Arabidopsis thaliana: one gene and its partner. The protein of the gene in region 2 purifies or fractionates together with the protein of the main gene of each other region. This does not show direct contact. Each region holds a gene or a part of one and is shown on either strand. Other genes may lie near its edges.

The links.
Region 1: the proteins of AT1G61700 (region 2) and PKR2 fractionate together in Arabidopsis thaliana (co-fractionation; one large-scale study listed by BioGRID). This does not show direct contact.

What each region holds. Positions count from the first base shown.
Region 1 is NC_003075.7:15,429,590-15,437,782, reverse strand, and holds the start of PKR2 (chromatin remodeling factor), read right to left. Parts: upstream 6,256-8,193; coding exon 6,136-6,255; intron 6,070-6,135; coding exon 5,912-6,069; intron 5,900-5,911; coding exon of another isoform or gene 5,830-5,899; intron 5,790-5,829; coding exon 5,616-5,789; intron 5,407-5,615; coding exon 5,192-5,406; intron 5,111-5,191; coding exon 5,015-5,110; intron 4,920-5,014; coding exon 4,783-4,919; intron 4,702-4,782; coding exon 4,543-4,701; intron 4,448-4,542; coding exon 4,340-4,447; intron 4,183-4,339; coding exon 4,132-4,182; intron 4,027-4,131; coding exon 3,939-4,026; intron 3,838-3,938; coding exon 3,692-3,837; intron 3,582-3,691; coding exon 3,484-3,581; intron 3,395-3,483; coding exon 3,256-3,394; intron 3,027-3,255; coding exon 2,857-3,026; intron 2,688-2,856; coding exon 2,621-2,687; intron 2,526-2,620; coding exon 2,412-2,525; intron 2,314-2,411; coding exon 2,204-2,313; intron 2,082-2,203; coding exon 2,000-2,081; intron 1,756-1,999; coding exon 1,561-1,755; and 14 more. UniProt on the Arabidopsis thaliana protein: Chromatin remodeling factor that represses the expression of embryonic trait genes upon and after seed germination and thus enables the developmental switch to post-germinative growth.
Region 2 is NC_003070.9:22,785,285-22,789,183, forward strand, and holds AT1G61700 (RNA polymerases N / 8 kDa subunit), read left to right. Parts: upstream 1-1,727; 5' UTR 1,728-1,820; coding exon 1,821-1,856; intron 1,857-1,976; coding exon 1,977-2,035; intron 2,036-2,616; coding exon 2,617-2,711; intron 2,712-2,802; coding exon 2,803-2,828; 3' UTR 2,829-3,096; downstream 3,097-3,899. Other genes in the region: AT1G61690 (phosphoinositide binding protein), read right to left, coding at 1-773, 861-1,029, 1,385-1,498; AT1G61710 (Cysteine/Histidine-rich C1 domain family protein), read right to left, coding at 3,575-3,899.

The DNA of each region.
Region 1 (8,193 bases), on a different chromosome or scaffold from region 2:
GTTTTCCCACATGGTCACAAATTCTTTTACGAGCAGATTTAGTATCAGGAGGGAAAGGGATATTCAGGTCTTTGCAGGCAACCTCTTGGAACCCTATCTCTTCGTCTTCAACGATGGCCACCCATCTACCATAGCCATGCCTATATTTTTACAAAGTTTCAAGAATGGAAGCAACATGCATGTGAGCAAACAAACAAAGAGAAACAAAATCAAGTAAGGATAATCGTTGAAGGGTTCTTACTTGGAAACAGCAGGAATCAGTATCCTATCATGTTCTTCCTTAGAAAATGCTCCATTTCTCAAATTGTACTTACTGATGACGTAGTTAGAGAAAACAGGTGCTGTCGGATGGTTGTCCAAAAATTGACACTGTCACATCAAACATTGAGAAGTGAGCTCAAACAAACAAGAGAGGACCAAACCAAATTTTATCAAACGAGAAACTTTCAGATATATAAACCACATGCAAAAACTTTAAGAAAGAATGCAATGAATCTTCTCAAGTTTTGGTTCGGTTACTAGTGCTAATAAGTAACTGTTTAAATTCCATAGACACTGGAAAATGGTAGGCTTACCTTCTCCTTTACTAGCATCATAAAAGTCATGCTCACTAGTAGCTCGTCACTGCTTATCCCTTCTTTGGGAACTCCATCTGCATAGACCATTGCCGTAATAACTTAAAAATATGATAACAGAAATAAGCAATTGGATATATCTAAGAATACCAACAAACATATAATCAATAAAGTGATAAATTACCTTTAAAATTTGTAGAATTATCGGTAGGGTTTTCGGCAATGTGTTTCAAAAATAAGATTCCATACCTGAGAAACAACAAATTTAACAAGTGTCAATGAACAACTGTTGGTTTTTGTAAAGCAGCTGAAAATAAGAGCATAAATGGCTTTAAGTCGTCAATACTTATTTATCTCGTCATAGGTCTTCATGTATAAGGGATTAACAAACTCCTTCCAATCAAAGTTTCCAGCTCCATACCTACAAAAGTTGTTTTGAGACACTTATGATATACTATGATGCTTTGAGAGACGCCAAACCACAATTTAGACAACATTATTAGAAAGAAGATATACCTCTTAAACGTACGTAAAAATATATCCCTCTCAGTCTCGTTAAATCCCAGCACCATGAGATATCTCCCTTCGCCTTCCATCAAAGGTATTTCCTCCGAATTATCTTACAGCAAAATAGATTTTCAAAGTTACTTAACTTGTAAACCTCTGAAACCAACAAGATGTCATCTTCAATGCAATATTTGGAAAAGTATAGTACCGCGAGCCCTTTTTCTGTAAGGCCTTGTAACCGTCCTCGGCTTTCTCTGTCGAGCTGCTTCGGGTTCATCTGCTTCCTCCTCCTCATCAGAGGTCACTTTTAAATCATCAAGACAATATTCGTCCTCCTCATCAGAGATTTCTTCTAAACCATCAAGATCATCTTCAGCATACATCACCTAGTAATATTAACAAAAGCAGGAATAAGAACACTTGTGCTAAAGGACATAAAACGATTCTGGAGAGGTGGGATCAAGAAGAGTATACGTACCTGCTTGCCGTTTCTCTTCCTCTTTCCAAGAGCACTGAGCTCCTCAGCTTGTTGCACTTCATATTTGTCTTTCAGCAAATCTTTCCAGTGACTTGTTCTATCAGCATTTCTTACTGAAGAATTGTTTTCTATAGCTTGTGCCTCCTCTAATGCTGCAGCCTCATTTTCATCATCTACATACTCAAAACTAGCCACCTAATATACAGGAAATAACATCAAAAAGAGAAATTATATTTGGAATTAATGCCACTAAATATATGTGTATAACTTAATATTGCAGGAAAAAAGGGTGTATATATATGCATGCACATGCACATGATGATTCTTGTAGCATATCCATTGAATTATTACTCTCTAAACAATTCTCTGGACCTTAACAAATATTGGATCATCTGATCAATAACCACTCATCTAGAAAGAGAAAGAGAAAGAAGTAAACCTTGAAATTCTTTAAAAAATCAGTTTCCTCCTCATCATCCAGTGAGACCTCCACAGCATCTACATGATTACGATCTAGCAACCTGCAGAAGAAAAGGTGTGGCTACAAATCATGAACATTCCATGCAATTGTATGGTGGCTTTGAACTATTAAAGTAAAATCACTAGGAAAGTAAAAACAAAGAAAGAAAGAAGAATATATTACTGTTCGATAGCAGCATCATCGTAATGGATTTTTCCAGACCTCCCTGCTTCATCATTCTCTTCAGAGAAAAGTTCCTTGGAACCATATTTGATGATGTCATCTAACTCGTCCTAATTACAGTCAGGGATAGAAAACAGTAATTAATTAAACCTTGTAGCAATAAGAATCAATAACAAATCGAACAAGGAATACATATATATATATATACCTGACAAAGATGTTGTTTTCCCACGACGAGATGCTCTAGAAGCATCTTGTTCTTGGTTATCTCCATCATCCGTTCTTCTACAGTACCTTTGTGAATCAGTCTGTAGATCATTACCTAAATAAGAAAATATAGGCTTAATCAGTGACATAGCTAGAAAAAGAATGAAATAGCAAGTGGATGATTCCACATTGACGCCATGAAAAGAGAACCTTATTTGTTTGGCCAAGCCGATGAACTCTAGCCATAGCCTGGAGATCAGCATGAGGATTCCAATCACTACAACACCAGTGAAAAAATCATGTCAATAAATTCATCACAACCATCTTAAATGCCTCTACAATATCTTTCCGCTATTAACTTAGAAGATCCAAACACTCTGTTATTCTGGAAAGAAACTTCCAACAAGCACTTTATCATTTCATTAAACAGATATTGGAACTCAAACCTGTCATAAATGATGACTGTATCAGCTGTTGCAAGGTTTATCCCTATTCCACCAGCTCTTGTACTGAGCAAAAAACAGAACCGGTTCGAGTTTTCTGCATTAAACCGATCTATTCTTACTTGCCTCTCAGGTCCACTGATCTTTCCATCAATCCGTTCATAATTCCAATTCTGACAAAATAAAAATAAATTTGTTACGGCTCAATATCATACAATAGTTTTTCCTTAATTGCATATAAGCAAATTATAAAAAGAAAGTTACTGTTCCTTGCGTCTCAAGATATATTAAAAAGTAACTTTTAAGTGGAAGGAAAAGATTATATCGCAAGTCATTTGCAGAGCGACAACACCAACTGAACAAATCAATAGGTCGACAAACAGATATAGCAGATTAGGTTACCTTGAAAGTGAAGTAGTCTTCCAAAAGGTAAAGGGTGTGTTGGAATTGGGTATAGATTAGCACTCTGTGCCCCTGCTCTTTGAGTTTGACCATCATTTTGTCTAACAGTTGCAACTTTCCGGAAGCTTCCAATAGTTTTCTTTAGAACAATTCAGAAAAGGTCAAGCAAAAGTCAGCACAAAATACTAAAAAGGAATCAATACGTCAAGATTAGTGATCAAATGTTACGTAAAAGCTTCATTTGCGTCTTCAAATCTTGGCTCAAAGTCTGGTAACAGATACGGATGAGAGCAAACTTGGCGTAATTTCATTAGCACGTTAGATATCTGAAACAGTTTAACCAGCCGAATTATCCTACCAAGTACAGTCTAAAAGGTTCCTAAACCAAGACAATATATATACATCTGCATAAGCACAAGAGATCCACAAAACTTACTTTAGCATCTCGTTTCTTTGTCAAGACTTGATAATTATTGGTAATAACAGCTTTGTACACTTCTTTTTGCTGGCTGCTCATATCAACACGCAAAATGAGCTCCTTCTTTGGGGGCACCTTATCCTTGAGCACGTCTTTCTTTAACCCTGCAATAACAATAAAAGCAAGATTAATCACCATGGTTATAGTTATCCCTTGGTGCGAGACTTCAAACGAAATGTTCTTAATAAGATTTGTTGGTTAATACTTCTGAGCAGATGCGGAGCCAACATTTGGTGGAGTCTTGAAATCTGCTCCTCTTTATTTATATCTTGAAACTTCTCCAAACTCCCAAACTGCAAGCATGGAAAATAAAATAATTAAAGCAAGCTTGTATGCTTATAATGACTATTTTAGAGAATAAACTAAACTTATTTTATATGCGTTATCTTTTGGCTAACCTTGTCCGCATCAAGAAAATGCATCAGAGCGAAAAGTTCATTCAAGTTGTTCTGAAAAAACACCAAATAAGTATTAGTGATACAAAAGAATTGATACCATAATAATTATAGTACTATTTCAGAGATCATAACTAATTAGGTAAACTTTAATGTAGGATTGAATGAACCTTGGGAAAGTCGAAGAACCAAAAATCGACTAACGACGAACCTGAAGTGGTGTTCCGGTCAACAGAACGATATGCTTACTTGTAAACTGACTCAATGAAGAGTACAGCTTTGACTTCTGATTTTTCAACCGATGGCCTTCATCAATAATCTAACCAAGAGAATGATATTCTAAGCAAAATATGAGATCTAAAAGAAAGACATACAAAGTATATAGTATCATTCAGATAATTAATACAGAAATACCATGCACGTCCACTTGATTGGACTCAGAACTGATATCCCTGGGTGAACCATCTCATACGTCGTGAGCAAGACATCAAACTTACTTTTACGCCCTTCAGAGAAGTAGAACTCATGTTCCCATATAACATCACGTGCTTCCGAATCCCCAGTGTACATAACCTGCATATATCATACGATGAAAACATTAATAAATAACTAATACCGTATATGTGACATATATATACGAAACATGATACATACCACATTCATATGTGGTGCCCAGGTGGCAAATTCCCTCTCCCAGTTACGGATGGTTGAGAGAGGAGCAACAACTAGATGAGGAGATAAGTTTTCCTCGAACAAAGAGGCCAAGAAGGCAATGCTCTGAATAGTTTTGCCTGCAGCAACCACAAAACCAATCTTATTTTACACAAATGATAAAAGCAAAGCCTATGAATAACCCCAAAAAAGAAATGGATTTTTGAAGACGTACCTAGTCCCATTTCATCCGCAAGGATTACATTGGTTTTCTTGGACCATGAATACCTTAGGAAATTCAGCCCTTCGAGCTGGTATGTATGCAATGTGCCTTAAAAACATATAAGGTAAGTAAATCAATAACATTATACAGAAACTGTATACAAATTGTTCAAGTAGTCTAATAAAATACCTGTAAGAAATTCAGGAGTAAGATCAAACTGTTTGAATTCCTCTCGATTTCTCTCATTTTCGACATATTTATCTCTACGAGAGCTAGAGTTTATATCCTTAAACCTTTGGATTTCATTCTGGAAATCTGAGATGTCAGATTCAGATTCCCAGTAACTATTTCTGTAAGAAAGTTCTTTGTACTTCACCAGATACTCCTCCCCATCATCTCCTTCCCTACATCATATCACAAACAAAAAAACCATAATTGTCAAAACGAAATCCATTAAGTGTCACACTTTTCTACACAGAAGATAGAGAAAGAAATATAAACGCATGAATAAATAATCACAAAGGAAAAAAAAAAAAAAAAAAACATAATTGTCACAACGAGGTCTATCAAGTTAAGGACATAAAAACAAAGGACAAGACTTGAATCACTTAACCGGCAAGCAATAATCCGGTCAACAGTTTTCCATTCAGGACGAATGGCGATAAACTCATGAGCTCCGTTCTCAGCGATGAATACGTCCATAGCAGCGTTAAACCTGGTCACCCTTAATTTTAGTTTTAAATGAGGATGGGACTTGTAAGCCTTCTCGAACTCCTGCTCGGGCACCCTAAGAATTGACATTAATAATCAAGTGATGATAAGATAACCAGACAAGAGAAGCAACAAAAACATAATAATCGACATGTTTAATTAAATACAACACGATATCGCATATTGCTGGGAATTTACCAAGAGCAGTGCAAGTACGATAACCCCTTCCACTTCACAAGATATTGTTTCACGACAACTAGGGTTGGTGTCCCGTTGTCAGAAGAATTCGGATTGTTAGATGCAGTAGGACGCCATTCACGGTCCAAAATCTTTTCAATCTCGCCAAGAGGACAATCCTGAAATGGATCAAATAATTAAAAGTCACTGCAGATCTATAATTTCACAACAAGACAAAGACATACCTGGTTACTTCCGCCTGTTTCTTCAACTTGTTCTTCACGAATGTATTCATCCAACTTGTCTTCAATATAATCTGGCTTTGGCCCGGTTCGTCTACGAAGCCTTTGCAACAGATTAGCCATTTCTCTGCATGAAAAAACCACAACAATGTGTTTGGTCAGTAAATATGATTCATTAAATTTTTAGATAAAATCGTAACAAGAAAGAGTGAAAAGAGAAATATCTCAGAAAATCTAAGACCAAGGAGGAGCGTACAAGATGAAGAAAATGCAAGGGAGCTAAAACGCAAGAGGGGTGATTCTTAAGGATATGATAAACGTCTGTTTATATATATAGAGAGGGAGTGGTCATTATTCTTTATTTCCTTTTAATTTTGTTTTATGGAGATAACACTACCTTTTTTTGTCAATTTCAATGTAAAGGTGAATTAATTTGTAACCAGAAGGGGATGCAGATGTAGTTGTGGCTGTGAGAAATTTTTAGAAGTGAGTCCTAGTGGTTTTTGTGAATGAAATTGTACCTAAAACCGTTAAGATTACGCGGCAATTTTGAAATTTCAACAAGAAATTCGATGATGATTTAAAATAAAATTATCAAAATAACCATATATTGAATAATTAAATATTTAAATATCATTAAAACAAAAAGTTATTTTATTTTATTAGTATAAAAAGTTGTTTGATTTATTAAGTTTCCTTGACACTGGTCAAACTATAAATTTATATGCTTACCAAAAAAAAACTATAAATTTATATTGTATATATACATTTATGTAACATAATTAAAAAATATATATCATATTTAGGGAAGAAATTAATTTAAAGTTTTTTTTATTTAAGATTCTTTGTCTGAATGGGTTGACCAGAAATAAGATTTAAATATTTAGTTATATCTTTAGTATCTAAAGATATGTGTCTGAAAACAAATAAATGAAACTTAAATAAAAATCTATTCAATGCAATATAATGTGATTTGTTTCTATAGAATAAAACAAATATTAAAGAGAGGCATGCAAATGGTAAGTATGAAAAAGGTTATAAAAGAAGAAGGAAATAAAGATTAGATTCATGCACTGTAATTTTGTTTAAAAATTAGCATTATCTTGAGTCTTGACCACAAAACCAAAATTAGTCGTCCGTTACAAATTGGAAAGGGATTTGGTTGTGACCAATAGTATGAAGATGGTTTACTTAGTTTCCAATACTCTATGGACAAATGGTGCATTTTTGTATTTGTTAGTTTTTTTAAGAGGTCCACATTTCAATTGATTAACGCTTTTTAAATTAACTAACACTTAAAAAAAGTTTTGTTACAAAGTATTATATAGATTTTAATTAATTGTAACAGCAAAAGCTTTCATAGCTCAGTTGGTTAGAGCACCCGTTTAGTAAGCGGGAGGTCTTGAGTTCAACTCTCAATGAAAGCAAATTTTTGTTATTTTACAATTAAAATCAGTTTTGTTCATTTTTATTAATCTTTAAAATAGATATGGTGTGAATGTTTCTCTTTATGCTTGGGCCTGTGGCCCTTTTTGGGCTTTGAAAAGCCTTGTAAGTTGACATAAAATCACGCTTATCAATTAGAGAATTATTAAAATATCCACCGAAATGTTTTCGGTGATAATGGGCTTTGAGTGCGTACCAGTAAAAGAAGGTTGAGACTTGAGAATAGCAATTAGCAGCGATCTGACCAAACAACACAACACAGTTAAATCATTCTCGAATACTTCCACTGGATGTCCACTGTGCAGCATGAAATTTGCATATATTTATTTTTAATTGATACAAGTTATTTTAGATGTTTATTGTATTTTTTTTGTAGAGCCATCCTAAAATAACCAAACCTTACGAAAAATAAATAATACAGAAACGTATCCAAAGGGGTTCTTACTCTTTAGAAAATTACTGAAATCAATTGTAGAAGAGCCTAAACATTGATTTAAATTTTGGTTTCTCGGTGGTTTTGTTGGACCATTTTTAGAGCTATAAACTTCTTCTAGAAATTCTTTTTTCTTAAAATGAAATATATTGTGTGTTATAGAAAAAGAATCATAAACAAAG
Region 2 (3,899 bases):
TTCTTTGTCATCATCCATACTATTAATAAGTGCAGATAGCTCATCATCTGATCCATCAGCTCCACCCAAAAGTTCCTGCTCTTCCAGTTCCCTTTCCAAAATTTTAGCCTTTTTCAGTTCATCTTTAGCTTCCGCAAGCTTCCCTTCACGTTTCAGCGTAAGGGCTTTTCTCTTAAGGGCAATTACCTGACTCTTGTCAATACCCCCAGTCTTCTGAGGATTAGCACTTCGCGGAATTTCACGGAGAAGAGACGAAAATTCGCCCTCCAAACTTATAGTTGCTGGTTTCTTATCTTCATCGTCAGACCACCCAAGCTCCCTCAGGTCAGCTGCCAAATCATCATTTCCTTTACCCCCTTGACGTAGAGGCTTTTGTGATTTGCTAGATTCTTTGGTAGCAGCCTTGTTCTGCGTCTCAGCAACATTTCGCATAGACAGTTCCCTTTTCCGGTTCCTTCTTAAAGATATCTCTAATGCGTCGGCCTCTCTCTCAAGTTCCCTCCCTCTCTTAAATGCTTTTAGAGCTTCATCAGATTTCCCTTCTCCTTTAAGAATTCTGTACTTATTCTTCGCTTCTACTGCTTGTTTACGCAATTCTTCAGGACTAGCATCCAACTCCATACCTTTATTACTACTGCTACTTGCCATTTCTTTAGAAGCATTCCTGTCTGTGCTAGACACAGATTCAGATGAAGAAGATACATCAACATCAGAGCCTAGAATCTCACTGAGAACATCATCCTCATTCTTTACAGTCCTTTTCGAGCTACCTCCTGAACAAATTCACAATCTCTTTACATCAAAAACTAGCAGATAACACAAAAGTGTCATAAATAAGATCACTATAGGTACATAAATACCTTTAGCAGCTCTATTTTTGTAACCATGACGCAACTCAAACCGTGCAGCTTCTTCAATTTTCTTACATGGTTCACATATACGCACAGGTGAGTCACCTTGTCCACGTAGTGACAACCTTTGCTGAGTGCAGGTTCCACAGAACAATCCCCCACATCTCCGGCAATGATGCTGCTCGCTCAAAAAAACAAAGCCAACAGAAACTAAGAAAAATTAAGCAAATTCAAAGGTTTTTGGGAGACATAGAAGAATCCAGCAAGTCACAAGTCTAGTAATACACAAACCACAAAACATCCAGATTCACCAAATTTACTCAAAAATATGGAATCTATCAAATAGGCACATCACCAGAAACCGATCATTCAGTGAAGTTTTCCGATAAACAGATTCTGAATTAGATCTCGAAGAAGAATCGACTAAGACGAAACTAAATTTCGATCGAAGAAACTAAGAATCTAAAGATCGCGATAGCAATAAGCAAGTACCAATTGATAGAGAGAGTAAGGAAATTAAGAGAGAGGAAGACCTTGCGATTGATGAAAGTGAATTGAGAAGAACATCCTTGACAATGAGAAGCATCAACGACCCAACTATTTCCTCTTAGAGATGGCTTCGGCGGTAATCCGATCTTCTCCAACATTTTCCCGTCTGATTCTTCTTCTCCTCCGCCGCGAAACGAACTTGGTTTTGATTTTGATCTTACCGGAAATGTAAAAGATCGAGCAGATGAAGAAGAAGAAGAAGAAGAATACTTTTCCTCCTCTATTGTCAGATATAAAATAAATAATTTTAACTAATACGGTATCGTTTTAGCTAAAACACATAATAGGACTCAATATATAAAGCAATAATAATTAGACATGAAACTAATTTTTGCTTTGAGACGAGAACGAAGTTAGAAAGAGACAAGCCCTAAAGATCGCTTTGAGACGATAAACTCTTAAAGTTTCGATTCGTTCACGATGATCGTCCCTGTTCGTTGTTTTACTTGTGGAAAGGTTTGTTTTTTCTTCTCTCTTTTTGTACGATTTCGATTTGTTATATATATATGTGTGTGACAAATCTCTAGGGTTTGTAGTATTGAGATTTATGAAGCTTTTGTTTATGATTTTTTGTAGGTGATTGGGAACAAATGGGACACATACCTTGAACTTCTCCAGGCTGATTACGCTGAAGGGTAAGCGATATATAGTTTATGATTAGAAAAAGAATCATAATTTGTGAGAAATTTTTTTGGTGAACATGAGAGTGATTGAATCTTGGAATTTTGAACGTTTTCTGACATTTTCTTAGTTGAAATGAGAGTCATGTAAAAGATGAAACAATAGTGGAACATGACAATAGAATGATTTGATGGTTTTGTGTAGTCAAAGAGATTGCATGATCTTGTCTTGTATGATCATCTTGAAAGTTTATACATGTTTTAGCCTTGTTACTAAAAGCATGAAGTTAGATCATTGGGATTTTTCGATTTTCTTGTTTTAATCGCTAGTGTAATCTTTAGCCCGTTTGGTTCTAGGTGTTAAGCTACATGATTTGGAATTGCGCAATTTCGTTTTTGTTTTAGTTGCAATTTGATCATCTTGAAGTTCATAGATGTTATCTTAAGTGTTAGTAAAGAGCATGATGGTAGGTGATCACTGATATATTCCATTCTCTTGTTTCTATCTAATCTTTTAGCTACTTTGGTTTTAGGCATTATGCTAAAATTGCATTTTGTTGAACTGAAAATCTGAATTTTGGTTTTGGAATACGCAGGGATGCTCTTGACGCGCTTGGATTAGTCCGTTACTGCTGCAGGCGTATGCTTATGACTCATGTCGATCTAATCGAAAAGCTTCTAAACTACAACAGTAATATCTCCATACCCGGTTCTTTTGCCTTGTGTTGCCTCTGCTCTATTCTTTTTGTTAACTTGCTTATTCGAATACTTCTCTTTTGCAGCTATGGAGAAATCCGACCCCAATTAAAAAAAGATGCTATAATGAATAACAAATCATCAAGAGCTGAAGTGAAGGAGTGATGCATCTCATCCATGTGGGCGTCTTAATAAAACCACAATGTTTCAGAAATTTTGGTTTAATTTATAACTAGGAATGTTGATATTTCAATGTTTTCTGATGTTCTTGTTCGGTTTTAGAAATCTAGACAATTTTTCGAGCCAAAAATAAAGCTCAAGCCTGTAGAGTCATCATCTATTGATTTGTTTTTGGTAATCTAATCCTGATAAATAGTAAAGATCACACATTTGATAAGGTTCAAATCTACAATCTAGATCACGAGTAGGAAGCAGCTCTTTTTGTACGATATCAAATTGGTAATGAGAACAGAGCACATAAAAACAATTTGAATGGAGCTCCCATTTTATAACCGGAGAATATCAAAGTTTTTTAGTTACAAGTGGTTGTATTAATTCAAGGAAACCATTTAACAAAAGAAATATAAATATTTATATTAAATATACACTATAATTAGTTGAATATATATTTATTTTGGATCAAATGTTTATTAAGATATATTTTTATTATAAAAATTTATTCTGAAATATGTTTATTGAACAATATACTGAACTTAACAAACCAAGGAGACTTTTTTTATTTTATTTTTTTTCAAACACAAACCAAGGAGACAAATATGAAGAAAACAAATTACATTTGAATAGAGAGGTAGAGCTATATAACTCACTGAATGCTTGGAAATATTGTCTATTAGTCTATTACAGATTAAGATTTTCTAAAAGAATTTGAGCCCGCTGAACCCAGAATTTGAGAGTTTGGCTTAGACTCAAATTCGAGTTTTTACCTAGTACGCATTCAATATGGAAAATGGTGCAGCACTCAACGCACCAATAGAACACTTTTGTGTTTGTGTCTCTTAAATTACGTTCACATACTTCGCACCAATCTTTTTCACGGACCTCTTCTTCCCATATAGCTGTGAGAAAGTGTTTGTCATGTTCATACCTTGCTCTATAGGGTAATGTAGCACACTTCATACAAACAATAAAATCACATTTGATGCAATTTAATTGATTATGACGT